Linked DNA regions of Stegostoma tigrinum. The protein of the gene in region 1 binds, or shares a complex with, the protein of each later gene. Links are inferred from orthologs where the notes say so. Each region holds a gene or a part of one and is shown on either strand. Other genes may lie near its edges.

Region 1 (7,234 bases):
GAGAGTGCTCTGCATCTGTCCTTAATCATGGTAAAAACTGACTTACATATTGGGATCTCAAAATTAGATCCCCTTTGATTGTACATTCAAGCTTAATTCAGAGCTTGAGCTGGTGATGTGATTCCAGTGCAGTAGTATACAGGAGTAGGAAGAGCAGGAATTCCATTGTGCAGAGAGAAAAATAATTGAACAGGAGAGAGGTAAGATGTAGTGCAAAGGGTTATTTCTAACACTAACTATTGAACATATACAGAGGAAGCTACTTATTGATAATGTTATGATCACATAAGCTTCTGAAGAAGGAGCAACAACCCAGGTTGCGTGCTTTGCTAGAATGTATGTATTTAACATAATGTAAATAAAGAACTACTTTGAAAAAGTTGGTCTCTAGCTATATCCTTTGCACTGAGTAGTGCACTGTAAAACCTTCCAAGACACCGCCCAAAAACAAAACATGCTAAAGGAAAGTGTTGTTTGCAGACAAATTAGATAGATTCTATCACCTGTCCAGGTGATTTAAGTGGATACGAAAGCACATAAATGAAAGAATAAGTAAGTTCTTCAGGTGTCCTGTACAAAATCCTCCTGTGAGTGATGTGACCAAAAACAAGATAACTGGTTATTCATCTCATTTGCTCTGTGTGGGACTTTGCTAAGTCAATACTTTGAAATCGGATTCATACATTTAAACTGATTTGGGCATTTCCGAAAGATATGACAAATGGCTACAGACGTCCTAATTCTCCTGGGAAAGGGGGATGGGAAACCTCAAAAGTAAGCCAGGAGATCAACAGACCAGAGGACAAGGAAAGGAACAGAAGAGTAAAAAGCCCAGACAGGGGTGAATGGGAGACCAAGATCACAAAGGTGAAGCTGGAAACTAGAAGTTTGAAAGCAGGGCTCACTAAAGCCAAGATCAGAAAGAAATGGGAAATAGGGGGACCATGCCAAAAAAGGCAAGTGTATTCTCAAAATAAGCTAGTGAAATCCACTACAATACCTCGTATGTAGGGTAATTTATTTTTAACACCTGAATGATGACCTATGTTTCTCACGGTACATATTTGCCTTTCATTTTGGAAATTTGCAGTGCAGCACTGGTGTTTATGTTTAGTGCAGTAATGGTAATGCCACTGGGCTGGTAATCATCACTCAGGTTAATCCTCTGAGGTTCAAAACCGACCATGGCAGCTGATGAAATTTTAATTCAGTGAATAAATCTGGATTATAAAGCCAGTTTGAGTATTGGTAACCATGACAATTTGTTATAAAAACCCATCTCGTTCACAATTGTCCATTTGGGAATTAAATCTGCTACCTTTAACTGGAATGGCCTACATTTGACTCCAGACATACAGACAAGTAATTGACTCTTAACTGCCCTCTGAAACGGCCGAGCAAGCCACAGTTCAACAGTAATTAGAGATGGGCAGCAATTGCTGGCCTTGCCAGAAACACCCACAATAGAAGAAAAAAAAACAGGAGGGTTACCTCAAAATTGATAATAAAGACTTGCAATTCTATAGCACATTCATGACCTCAGGATGAATTAAAATGCTTTATGGCCACTAAGTACTTTTTGAAGTTTAGTCACTATTGTAATGTAGAGAAAGCAACAGTTAATTTGCACACAGCAAGCTCCCACAAATAGCAATGTAATAACGATCTGATATCTAAACTTATGTACTTGCATCCTGGAATGAGACTGAAATTCATAACCTTCTGTCTTGGGAGATAAGGGTACTATCAACTGACCTACAGCTGATACAAGATTTTTCTTTATTACGAAACTAGCTGACAGGAGATATTTAGGTTGTTTACCAAAACCTCCTCTTCCCATTCCATGTGCCTACCATTGTTTAAATGTCTCTATGCTTAAAGATACTGATGACATTGGTTATGCTGTTAATTTAAGAGGTTTGTTTGAGTGAAGTAAATGCAGAGGAGTAGTACCTTTCATTTCTACATACAGAGCAAATGGATATCCGCACTTTGAGGTGGAGATAGTGAAGGGAAGATGGGCATTAATAAAGGGTAGTGGGAGTGAATAAAGAGCAGGGGAGAGAGATAATGAAGGGGATAACGGTGGTAGTACTTGGATGGCAATGAATAAGTGATAAATGTGGAGAGAGGTAGGATGGTAACAACTAAGAAGGGGAGGGGTTGGGTTGAGCAATAAATAAGAAGGAAATGTTGAATGTGGGGAAGAAATAGGCTTTTTGAGAGTCCTGTGTATGAATAGATGTAGCTTTTAGCAAAACAAAATAAAACCCTGCAGATATTGTGCCTTTTTCAACAAACCAAAAAGGTTGGGGGGAGGGAACAACATTTCTCTAGGGGAATTCTCCATGTAAACACCTCAGTCAGCGTCTACTTGCCAAACAATCAGTATCCTTTTTCCATGCATAGAGTCATTGAGTCATACAGCACAGAAATGGACCCCTCAGTCCAACCAGTCCATGCGAAATGTAATCCCAAACTAAACTGGCCCCACCTGCCTGGTCCTGGTCCATATCCCTCCAAACATTTCCTATTCATGTACTTATCCAAATGTCTATTAAATGTTGTTATTATACCAACAACCACCATTTCCTCAGGAAATTCATTCAACACGTGAACTACCCTCTTTGTAAAATAAAAAATTGCCCCTCATGGCTTTTTAAAATCTCTCTCCTCCCATCTTAAAAACGTGCCCTCTAGTTTTGAAATACCCCATCCCAGGTAAAAGAAAATTGCAATTAACTCTAATCTATACCCCCCCCCCCCCATGTAGTATAAATTGTTGCTCCGTTTGAAATTTGATATTCTTGTAATTGTCATGATGACTGCAGGACAAAACATTTCAACAGCGTAACAAAGTGTGGAGCTGGATAAACACAGCAAGCCAAGCAGCATCTGCAGTTCCCATTATCTCTAATTTCAACAGCATGTTTCCTTTTGCAGTAATAAAGTTGTTACCCTGGTCCCAAAGGACGTAGGGCTGCTCGCTCATTAAACAGAGACGACCAGCGGTAGTTTAACCTGAGGGTCACCTCGCCTCAGGCAAGGGGTGAGCTCAAGAAGATGGGACCTTCATAGTGACCTCATGCAGTACTTGAATTCAATTCACATGTTGGTATCGCAATCCAGCCAGCCAAGTAAGCTACTCGACTCCCCACAGAGCAAAGTCGCCATAGTCCCAAAGACCACAGTACTGCTTTCTCAAGAGAGAGATGATCGGTGATGGCTTACCCTGTGAGTCACCTTGCAAGGGGAAGAGGTTGAGAAGGACAGACCTTCATGGTAACCTCAGCTAGTATGACAACTGAACCCATCCTGCTGGTGTTACAATCATACTCAGATTCTGTTCCGCCAAGTGACTATATAAATCTGAGTTGTTGTAACCAGAATTTTCAACTGTAAAATGTGAACTTAAAATTTTCCATGAGGGTATGAACCCTAGGAGTTCCCTCCTTAAAGGACTCATAACCAGATCTGTGTTTTTAATGTTTGTGTTCCTCCTTTGAGGCTTGCTGGTACTTGTTTCATTTTCCAAGTCATTAAAAGGTAAAGCTATGAAACAAAATCGTTGAAAGCACTGAGGAGGTTACACAGCATCAGAGTACAGATAAGTGCAGTTAAGCTTCAGGTCAATGATCACTTATCATAATGAGAACAAGATAAGAGGTTTAACAGTTTAGAAGCGAGTACAAAGCCGGATAAAAAGGAGGGTTACGCAAGGAGAGAGACAAGAAGCTGAGTTGTGGAACTGAGCTGAAAACATGGCAGCAAAACATAATGGGGAGCGTTAATAGATTATTAAGAAGCAAAATATGGGTCTAGAGGACGTGCTTAACAATGCTGGGTAGAGACATCAACTTTGTATGGCGAAGTATCTGTAATAGAACGGATATTCTTGAATTGTGGGCTTTTATGGAAATTCTATCATTGTTTTTCAAGCTGTTGGTCATCTTTTCCCAAAATTTCCATCCCATCCAATGTTTTCATCACTGCTATTTTTTACTTTTCGTAGAGGGTGTTCTGTTCACTATTTTTCAAGCTTCGAGGTTGGCCTTTTCTCTCCCAAATTTTGTGTCAGTGCTAATTCCATGTCTTGTGGGCTTGAGATTTTCTGGAAGATATTTTCTCCTAGTTTTCTCTGCTGGCCTTCATGGGAAAGCAACAAAATCGTAAATACCTTGGAAGTGGACCACGCTGTCTCCATGTTATTGTGTTCATTGGTCTTTGAAGGGGCGGATCTGCAGCTGAAAATAAAGCTGGTGTTTGGTTTGTAACTGCCCAGTTCGGAGGCGGTTTATGATGACTGTTGCTATGGTTACCGGGCTTGTTTTGAAGGTGATATTTCCCGGTTGGTAACATTTAACGTTCCCTTTCGTCTCAAACGGTTGCTGTTTATCTTCAACAATGTTGAAAAGATAAATCGGAGGTTTTAAACCTTCAAAATGTCGGTGCGACGACTCCTGGCCCGCGGCCTGGACCTCAGCCGCTCGGCCTTGCGCCTCGTCAATCCCGCAGCTCGAGCTCGGGCTCAGGCGGGCGCGGCCTTTGTGCAACCCTGGGCCCAGCAGCCGCTCCAAGCCGTCCTACCCGCCCGCTACCGCTATTTCCGCCTGTCTTTGGGCGGCCTAGCGGCTCAGCTACAGCGCCGGGCGTCTTGGCAGCTCCGCGGGCCGGGCGGTGCTTTGCTGGCCTTCGGCCTGGGCCTGGGCTTCATCGAACAGCAGGTGGAGGAGGTGAGGACGAGCATCGCTGCCTGCGAGGAGATCCAGGTAAATAAACGTCGGTCCGGGCATCGTTTGAACAAATAGATTAATGCTCCTTGCGATATGCTGCTTTTCCGTCTTGCTGTTGTCTAACAGCCGCCTGACTTTTCGCCGGATAATAAAATGTGGAGGCAGAGACAGGCTGGACTGATGAAGGGTCTAGGCCCGAAACGTCAGCTTTTGTGCTCCTGAGATGCTGCTTGGCCTGCCGTGTTCATCCAGCCTCACATTTTATTATCTTGGAATTCTCCAGCATCTGCAGTTCCCGTTATCTCTGACTTTTCGCCGGCTTCGCTGTAGGTGATAGTGGTGTTGGAAGCTAATTTTCTCAACGTCAATTTTAGGCGAAAGCCCCAAGTTGAATGCTCTCCTTTCTTACCTAAACTTTTATTATGATCTCTGACATGCACCTGATGTAGTTTACCTGATTAAGCTCTCTGTCAGTTTGGACGTCACCAAATTTTGACGGTCAACTTCCATTTAAACTTTGATATGATGGTCTAGGCTCTTTTGGTCCATTTTATTAAATAGATGCTGTGCAATCATATCCCAATAACTACCCAGCAAATTTTTTTAAAATGTCAGAAGAACAAGGAGCAGGGATAGGCAATTCAATCCCTTGACCCTGCTCCACCGTTTGATAGGAACACGGCTGATCTCTTCTTGGTCTCAACTCTACTCTCCTCTGTCCTCTCCATAACCATTTAGCCAATTTACTGTCTATCTCCTGCTTAAATTTACTCAATGTCCCAGCATCCAGCGCATACTGAAATAGTGAATTCCACAGATTCACAACCCTTTGAAAGAAGTAATTTTCCCCTCCTCTCTCTTTAAATCTGCTACCTCTTATCCTCAACCTCTCATCCTAGCCGTGCATAAGACATAAAATTGCCTACAGACTTTGTATGAGCTTTAGCAATAAAAAATGTGTGATTTAGAAATGGACAACACAATATCCTACAGAGAATTTGAGTACTGAAGAACACGAGAAGAAATAGAAAGATTGACACTTTCAAAGTTTGAACCAGGAAGTGTAAGTTTTAATATTGAATTCACTGAGCAATTATGTTCAGAAAGCAAAAGAAAGATGAGATTAAGGAGTGGAGATATGGCAAATAAAAATGTTTAAAAATTTTTTAAAAATCAGTAAAATGTTTCCTAAATTTAATTTTCAAATATGATCTGTCACTATTTAACACTGCCAATTGTAAACATGAACCAATAGGTTAACAGAGGACACACCTTTTGGAGAATTAGAAAACTGAGACAAAATAAGACTTAGTTGAGCAACAAAATGCCCAAATAGCAAAATTTCTGCTACATCAGTGAGCGTTGTTTTGACTTGCTTGATATAATTCGTTTTCTACCACAAGGAAGCTCGTACTAATAACATCTTGGGATATGGGGATAGTATTGGAAAATGGTTTTTGGGTGGATGATCAGTCATAATCTAGAATGGGAGCACAGATTTGAGGGACTCTATGTTCCTAAACATTCAACATTATTATGAAACGTAGGAGTTTACCACAATGTCAGTCTTTCTTTCTTCATAGTCTGACAATGAAGCCGTAGCTTCATAATTTCCTAAGCAAGCCCTGGAGAATTGCACTGTTCGCTAGTGGTGAAGAATTTGGTGGAGTCATATTAATGGCGGATCTCTTCTTGGCAGAGCTTTGTTTTTGTTTTAAAATCAATTCTACTCAAAACTGAATGGAGGTTTGGTTCATTCTTTATAACTACATTTGAAAAAGTTCCAATTTGCATAAATGTGCACTTATTTGCATATATTTGGTTAGTTAATGAGAATAATTGTTGAATTATTTCCATTTGCCAGACATTGTTTAAAAGGAAGAAAATCAAGTATGAAAACTCCATGCCTTCACACACGAGTGGATATCGATTTGAAGATTACAAGATTGGATACAACATTGGAAAGGGGTGTAATGCAGCTGTGTACAAGGCCTTTATCCCTGAAGTACCCAAAACAAAAGCAAGTGACAAGATCACGACAAAGGAGAAAGATGAAGTAGTTAACAGGCAGGTGAAGAGTGAAGGTCAGTGTGTCTCTGGTGAGGATTCTGGAGAAAGAAAGAAGGTAGCGATTACACAGGAAAACTCAAGTTTGAGTTTTGTGATTTTGAAAAAAGAAATGTTAACAGACTCGCTGAGGGCTTGTGAAGGAGACACCAGCAACCCCTTGAGAGTTTCTTGTGGAGGCAGCAGTTACCTCCTGAGGGCCTTCGAGGAAGACACCAACTACCCCCTGAAGGTACCTGAAGGAGAAACCAGCTATCCACTTGCTCTAAAAATGCTTTGGAACATAAATGTAAGTCAAACATTGAAATGCACAATTTGTTGTTTGAGCCAAGTGGAAGATAACCATATGCTGGTGATGTGGCACGAGACTTGCAATTGGAATTTCTTTTGCTTCCAATAATTTGTCTGCAGTGCTTTCAATTTAAAATACTTCT
Region 2 (7,692 bases), on another chromosome or scaffold:
ATGGCGATTCTCCGAAAGGAACTTTAAGGTGCTGGTTGAGGGCCCATCTTCCTGTAGGACACCAGAGGAAGCTACAGCATTCCCGCTGATATTGTGTTTTTCCTCTTCAAGGCAGACCTCCGAGGTCCATGAGCAGCAACAACTTCCAAAACCAGAAGTCATGGCACTGGCATGGCAACTGTTTGGTGTGGGTCCCAGAGACTAAGACTGACAGAGGGTGGTCTGACGTTCTACTACTCAATGCCCCTCACAGGGGGAGACCAGGACCTGTCTCCCCTGTAGGGTTGCTGAGACAACCAGGTCCTACCGGCCAACTAAACGGGACCACTCTAGTAAAAGATTGCCATGTGGGTCAGTACTATGTGGGTGACCACCATCCGAAGGAATTGACAGCCATGCTGTAAGAAGGCGCAGAGGCTAAAGGCTTTTCTTGTTTAGAAAGATATCAGGTGTCAGCGCATGTTCTTTGTTCGTTAGTGACACTGTCCACTGTAGCAAGCTAAGTGCTGCACTCTTCCTGCTGCCATTTCACACTCACTCTATCTCTGTTCTCCCCTCATTCGTCACCATTCTCACTATTGCCTGCAGCATCTCCCCTCCCTTTCTCTCATTCCAGGAGAACATAGCCATGTAAGGGAGGCATCAGCCTGGTGGTAATATCGCTGGAATGTTAATCAGAGACCCAAGTAATATTCTGGGGACCTGGGTTTGCATTGTGGAAGTTGATTTCAATTTTTAAGTCTGAAGCTAAGAGTCTAGTGGTGATTGTTGATTGTTGGAAACCCCAGCTGGCTCACTAACATCCTTCAGGGAAACTGCTATGCTCGCCCGGTCTGGTCTACATGTGACTCCAGAGACACAACAATGTGGTTGACTCTTAACTGCTCTCTGGGCATTTAGGGATGAGTAGTAGATGTTGGCCTTGCCAGAGGCCAGGCACCTACACGGCCCCCAGCAGGACAGGACCCAGTGGTGCGGGGAATCAGGAACTTCGACCACAATGAACTGGGAGGAACAGCAGCAGGTGTGTGGGAGGGAATGGCCCCAATTTACCAGAAGCTGCAGCGATTCCTGCAACTGTCTAACTGTATCCACAGATAAACTGGCGATTTCCAAGGAAAGACAGGCCCAGCCCCCTCAGGATCTGCTTGCATGCGCCCACTATCCATTGCCCCAGCCACTGGTCGGCAGGCCTGTAGCATGGCAACGTGGAGATGGGGCACCTTCTGTGCACTCTAGATGACCCCGTCCCCACCAGGATACAAAGCAGTGCCCAGGGATAGCCACCAGAGGAGGAACCACACTCAAAAAGCCCTTCAGCAATCTCCTCTCGGGACACTCCAGAGGTAGCTGGGGCCTTCCCCTCCTGCCGCCTATCAAAAACAAGGGAACCTGCCACAAAATGGGATCCATCCATTACCATTTCCCCACATATACCCAATAAAATGGGCTGATTTAACCTTACAATCCATTCTCTGTTGGTCAAGCTGCTGTTTGGAGTTGCAGAATGCTACTGAAGTGTTTAAAATAATGTAAGTCTGAAAGAATGCTTACAGCAAATCTAATTTTTTTCCCTTGTGGGGTGCAGGCAGAGCAAGGGACCACAATTTGAACCTCTTACACCTCTTAACAGCTGAAATAAACTTCTCTCCTGGAGCCATCTCTTCACCAAGAGAATAATGAGGTCTTTGGCTGCAAATTGTCACTCATTTCTCAGTACTATCTGAGCCATTAGGTGAGCAGAATTTTCAACTACAAATGCACACCTTTTCAAGGTTAATGCACTCATTATAAGATCATCATCTGTGTGAAATTGCATGCTGGATTTCAAAAGCAGATGCAGGATTGCAGTAACAAGCACATTGCAAGTTTGTAAATGAAATTCTGCAAAGAGTTTCTATTCTCTTGTTTACATTTTGCCAACTACAACAGTTACATGATGCGCTCAGCAGAGGGAGACAGGATACAGAGCAGAAGGCACTATTGTGATAGTAAACCCATATTCAAAGTCTAACTACAGAGATCAACTGCATATTCACAAGAAGTCCCTGCAGCACAAATGAAGGAACATACATGGCTTCAAATGTACCATAATTATTGATCTCAAACTTGGGTTTGGACTTTCAGATAGGTTCTGAAAAGCCAATTTGTGCACTTTCCTACCTTCCCCACAATTGCAGACCAAGCTCGTGGGATTTTGCCAGGGATTGTTGTTCTTCCACACAGGATTTGTGTTTGCCAGATTTTTTTTTGCTGGGTGCAAAGCCAAGCAGGCTAGAAGGATTACCGCTATTTCTGAAGACTCCAGCTGTGCTCCCAACATGTTTTAAAATGTGAAACCTCACCCTTATATATGCATACACATGGTCTTCCCTTATCTGTCATGGCCATTCACCCAGTATCCACTACATACAATCCTCAGAGGCTATGCAAGACATTCAAAATGAGTTTAAATGCAGTCAATACAGAGTGGAAGTGGAGGAACACAGTAAGTCAGGCAACATCAGAGGAGCAGGAAAGTCGACGTTTCGGGCCGGAACCCTTCATCAGGACTGGGGAGGGGGTACGGAGCTCAGAAGTAAATAGGAGGGGGTGTGATGCTGGGGGAAGGTAGGTAAGATGGTGATAGGTGAATTGTAGAGTTTCATCAGAGGGAAGGGTGGAGCAGAAAGATAAGAAAGAAGATGGACAGATTATGTCAGGTCAAGGAGGCGGTGATGAAAGCAAGGGCTGCTCGTGGGACGGGGCTAGGGGTGGGGAGATTTTGAAGCTAGTGAATTCTATATTGAGGCCATTGGGCTGTAAGCTGCTGAGAAGCAAGATAATGTGTTTTTCGTCCAATTGTTGTGTGGCCTCATTGTGACATTGGAGGAGGCCCAATTTGGTCATGTCACCAAGAGAGTGGGAGAGCAACCAGGAGGTGGTATTGAATGGAGCATACAGAATGCAGATGCTCCGTAAGTCAGTCACTGAGTCTGCACTTGGTCACTCTGATGTAAAGGAGACCACATCTAGAGCAATGGAAGCTGTAGACTAGGTTAGATGATGTACAGGTGAATCCCAGTTGGACTTGGAATGATTGTTTGAGGCCTTGGACAGAGGTGAGAGGGGCTGTGTAGGTGTAGGGATTAGTTTAAAGGCAGTTGCAAAGAAAAAATATTTGACAATGTATTAAAATTCTAATTCAAACATATTACCATTGATACACAATGTTATCACAACCGCGTAAAATTGTCAGTCAGCACCTTGAAGAGCTGTCAACTGCCAACTGGGTGTTGGAACTCAGCCAAGCATTCTTATTGAATACAGTTTTTAAAACATTACCATCCCAACTCCAAAGGCTGAAATTGAAAGAAGAATTAGTATCATCTGCATTTGAACAGGCTGTCTCCAATGAATGGAGGGGAGCAAGCATTAAGGTTGTTCAAATGTCCAAATTTTGCTGTTATTTTTCTGACAGAGTTGGCTGCAGATTTAAATCCCAGTGTTACCACATTGGAAAGCATTTTACAACACATTTTTTCTATATTTTTGAATGCATTATGGCTCTTTCTCAAATGGAAATACTGTAATATATTTCAAAGCTTACACAATACTGGTTACTGTAATAGCTTTCTCTATTTTTAAATAATATTCATCTCCTCCACACTGGTTAGCACTGCTGCCTCACAGCACCAGGGACCTAGGTTCAATTCCACCCTTGATAACAAAGTGTGGAGCTGGATGAACATAGCAGGCCAAGCAGCATCTCAGGAGCACAAAAGCTGACGTTTCGGGCATAGACCCTTCATCAGAGAGGCGTTTGCACGTTCTTCCTGTCTGCATGGGCTTCCTCCCACAGCCCAAAGATGTTCAGATTAGGTGGACTGGCTATGCTAAATTGCCCATAGTGTTCAGGGGCGTGTAGATCAGGTGGGCTGTAGGGGAACGGGATGCTTTGAGGGTCAGCAGGGATTCTATGATCATCCTGCAAAAGTAGCCTCATATATTTATTATATTATTATACCACATTATATTCCAACTGCCAAGCTCTTGCCCAATCACTTAACCTGATTATATGCCCACACTAAATAAAAACTGAAAGAACGCGGATGCTGTAAATCACGAACAAAAACAGAAGTTGCTGGAAAAGCTCAACAGGTCTGGCATCATCCGCCATACCTGCTGAACTTTTCCAGCATAATAATAAAATGTGAGGCTGGATGAACACAGCAGGCTAAGCAGCATCTCGGCCTGCTGTGTTCATCCAGCCTCACATTTTATTATCTTGGAATCTCCAGCATCTGCAGTTCCCATTATCTCTGAACTTTTCCAGCAACTTTGTTTCTTTTATACGCCCACACTATTTGCCTCCCCACCTGTTTCCGTGTCTTGTCTACTGGCCATGTACATTCACTTTCCTCACCCAGGGGAGGAGGAGTGGGGCGGGGGAGAGGAGCACATGGCTCGTCCCGGCTCTCAGACTTAACTCACGTGGGTCCACACTCCGAGCGGGACCGCCCATTTCCGCTGTCAGTCACTTGCCCGAGAAGGGGCGGGGCCAGAGGGGCGTCGCCTCGAGACCCCGCCGGCGCGCCTGCTCTTCCAGGTGATTGGAGGCAGGCGGGTCACGTGTGAGCCTGGGCGGGGCAAATCGGCGAAGGGTCCGCCACCCGCTGCTGCTGCCGCCACCATGTTCAGGATGGAGGCGCTTGGCCCGAAGATGGATCCGGAGGAACTGCGCAAGAAGATGCGGGCGGACGTGCTGCGCTCGCTCCGCAATTTCCTAATTTACGTGGCCGTACTGCGGGCGAGTGAGTATCATGCGGTGGAGGGCGCAGGGGTGCCGCGGCCCTCCCAGGCCTAACGGGAATGTCTGCCCTGCCTCTAGTGGGTGTGATTTCCCCCCGTAGCCCACCCTCAATATCGGGGAACAGGCGAAGCCGCGGGGGGGAGGGAGCAGGATGGTGGAGTGGGGGTCCTGCCGTGCAGGGTGAGGGAGAAGCTGCACTGAGTGCTGAGACTGTGGGGAACAGGAGGGAACTGCACCCACGCTGACCATCCCATCCCCAGACAGGTTTGTTAGGTTTCTGGGTGAATCTCCCAAGTCAGAGCTGCGAGGAATAATGTTTTATTTGCTCCTCGGCACTAACCCTTTTAACACCCAAGGAGTGGGAGGGGGGGTGGCATGCCCCTTCCTGGGCCGCCTCCACTGCCACAGTGATGCCACGTGCAAAACTGGAGGAACAACGCCTCATATTCTGCCTCAGGAGCATACAGTCCGATGGCCTATACAAAGAATTCGCCAGTTTCTAAATCTCCCTGTCCCTGGGCCTCATGCCATCGCCAACCCTCCCCCTCATCCTTGCTTCCTTGACCTGATGCAACTTGTCCATCTCCTTCTCCTTCCCCACCCCCACCCCCACCCCCACCTGCCCCACCCCCACCTGCCCCACCCCCACCTGCCCCACCCCCACCTGCCCCACCCCCACCTGCCCCACCCCCACCTGCCCCACCCCCACCTGCCCCACCCCCACCTGCCCCACCCCCATCTGCCCCACCCGTCCCACTGACCAATAGAACATAGAACAGTACAGCACAGAACAGGCCCTTCAGCCCACAATGTTGTGCCGACCATTGATCCTCATGTATGCACCCTCAAATTTCTGTGACCATATACATGTCCAGCAGTCTCTTAAATGACCCCAATGACCTTGCTTCCACAACTGCTGCTGGCAACGCATTCCATGCTCTCACAACTCTCTGCGTAAAGAACCTGCCTCTGACATCCCCTCGATACTTTCCACCAACCAGCTTAAAACTATGACCCCTCGTGCTAGCCATTTCTGCCCTGGGAAATAGTCTCTGGCTATCAACTCTATCTATGCCTCTCATTATCTTGTATACCTCAATTAGGTCCCCTCTCCTCCTCCTTTTCTCCAATGAAAAGAGACCGAGCTCAGTCAACCTCTCTTCATAAGATAAGCCCTCCAGTCCAGGCAGCATCCTGGTAAACCTCCTCTGAACCCACTCCAAAGCATCCACATCTTTCCTATAATAGGGCGCCCAGAACTGGACGCAGTATTCCAAGTGCGGTCTAACCAAAGTTTTATAGAGCTGCAACAAGATCTCCCGACTCTTAAACTCAATCCCCCTGTTCACTAGCCCCTACTTGCATCCACCTATTGCTATCCCACCTGCCTTCCCCCAGTCCCCCTATTTATTTCTGAGGTCCCTTACCCCTCCTCAGCCCTGATGAAGGGTCTGTGCCTGAAATGTCATCTCTCCACCTCCTCTGCTGCCTGACCTGCTGTGTTCCTCCAACTCCACACTGTATTGACTGAATCTAGCATCTGAGGTTCTTGTGATCTGACTGTTCAGAAATTACATGGAGTGTAATTTCCTTACCTATAATGGTGCCATTCTCATAATTGTTACATTCTGTAGTAACAAATTGTACAGTAAAGTGAGAAATCTCACTATTTCATCTTTCATAATGTTACTTGGGGTCAGTAGGATCCATTGCCTAAATGAATTGACAGTGCTCTTGGCATATTAACCATTAGGTTTTTCCAAGTTATGGTTATGTACAAGTACTGAAACAAAAGGTGCCAATGTAGTCATTAAACTCAACTTGTCCACCTTACCATAATTGCCTCTGTTAGATGTTATGTTGCCAGTTATATTCAATCATATCCTCTGTTTTTCAGCTCCATTTGTCCTAAGTAAACTGGATAGTATATGAAGTTCAGTGAAACCAACGTACTGCAGGACAATAGTCAAGCCAAACTTCATGCTTGTTGCTACAAGATGATAAACTGAATGTGGACAATTGGAAATCTTATTGCTACTAAGGAATGGATCTTTTAAACTACAGGATAAAGTGTCAACTCTCAACATATTGAAAACGTCTACCTGTGCTACTGGATTAATTGTTTTGTTGTGCTTCTCTTACATTGAGTAATCTACCACTTTATTTTGTACAAAGCCTTCTGTAATTGTTTTGTCACAGATCCCCTCCTGTATCAGTATGCAAAACAAACCTGTTTGTACACACATGGACGTCTGTCCAGAGTTTGAATCTGATCCGAAGTGCAGCTGGATAGAAATCAGCTGAGTTTCCTCAACATCAGCAAATACTGCAATTCTTTCTCTATAGTGATTCTGAGAAACATAACTGAATTTTATGAATCATTAAGGGAGCACAGAATGTCTTGGAAATACTTGAGGAAATTCAGCTGGCCTGACAGCACCTGTGGAGAGAGAGTTAACATTTCAAGTCTGTTGTGACTCCTTTTCAGAACTGAGTTCTGAGCTTTTTCTCTCCAGTATTGTTTCAGCTTTTCAGCATCCTACAGAGTTTCAGTCATTGCAAATGTTTGTCATGTCTCTGGTCTTAAGAGGTGCACTGTCAGAAGTGATATGGAATAATGATACTTTCCCAGCTGTGATTTGAGTTGTTTTCTACTGGATTTGCTTTAAGTGGTTTTGTATGAAAATTAATGCATTTTATTATTAATTAAAAGAATCAGTAACTATTCATCTCCTGAATATGAAGATTTAAACTGTCTCATTACTAAGTTGCGTATGATTTCAAATTTTTTTCCTCTGCTTTCTACGCTTCTTCTAACTCCAGTGGTCTTTCTATGATCTAAATTATGAGATTGGTGTCTGCTACATTTTTAGGTTCCTCTGCCTGTCTTTTATATGTGG

What was found.
Region 2: the proteins of pink1 (region 1) and tomm5 are in contact, whole or in part, in a cryo-EM structure (PDB 9EII), measured with the Homo sapiens proteins. The link is inferred for Stegostoma tigrinum from reciprocal best matches to the Homo sapiens genes PINK1 and TOMM5. Residues at the interface, in NP_115785.1 of Homo sapiens: Gln484, Ala488, Gln491, Ser495, Lys496, Pro498, Val502, Lys520, Leu522, Lys523, Leu524, Met527, Glu565, Cys568, Gln569, Ala571, Leu572, Leu573, Cys575, Ser576, Trp577, Ala579, Ala580; in NP_001001790.1 of Homo sapiens: Met1, Phe2, Arg3, Ile4, Gly6, Leu7, Ala8, Lys10, Leu11, Asp12, Pro13, Glu14, Met16, Lys17, Arg18.

The regions. Positions count from the first base shown.
Region 1 is NC_081381.1:30,930,823-30,938,056, forward strand, and holds the start of pink1 (serine/threonine-protein kinase PINK1, mitochondrial), read left to right. Parts: upstream 1-4,105; 5' UTR 4,106-4,442; coding exon 4,443-4,769; exon of another isoform or gene 4,770-4,996; intron 4,997-6,346; exon of another isoform or gene 6,347-6,473; coding exon of another isoform or gene 6,474-6,479; intron 6,480-6,597; coding exon 6,598-7,089; intron 7,090-7,234. UniProt on the Homo sapiens protein: Serine/threonine-protein kinase which acts as a sensor of mitochondrial damage and protects against mitochondrial dysfunction during cellular stress.
Region 2 is NC_081356.1:12,772,229-12,779,920, reverse strand, and holds tomm5 (mitochondrial import receptor subunit TOM5 homolog), read left to right. Parts: upstream 1-4,589; 5' UTR 4,590-4,672; coding exon 4,673-4,793; intron 4,794-6,689; coding exon 6,690-6,724; 3' UTR 6,725-7,530; downstream 7,531-7,692.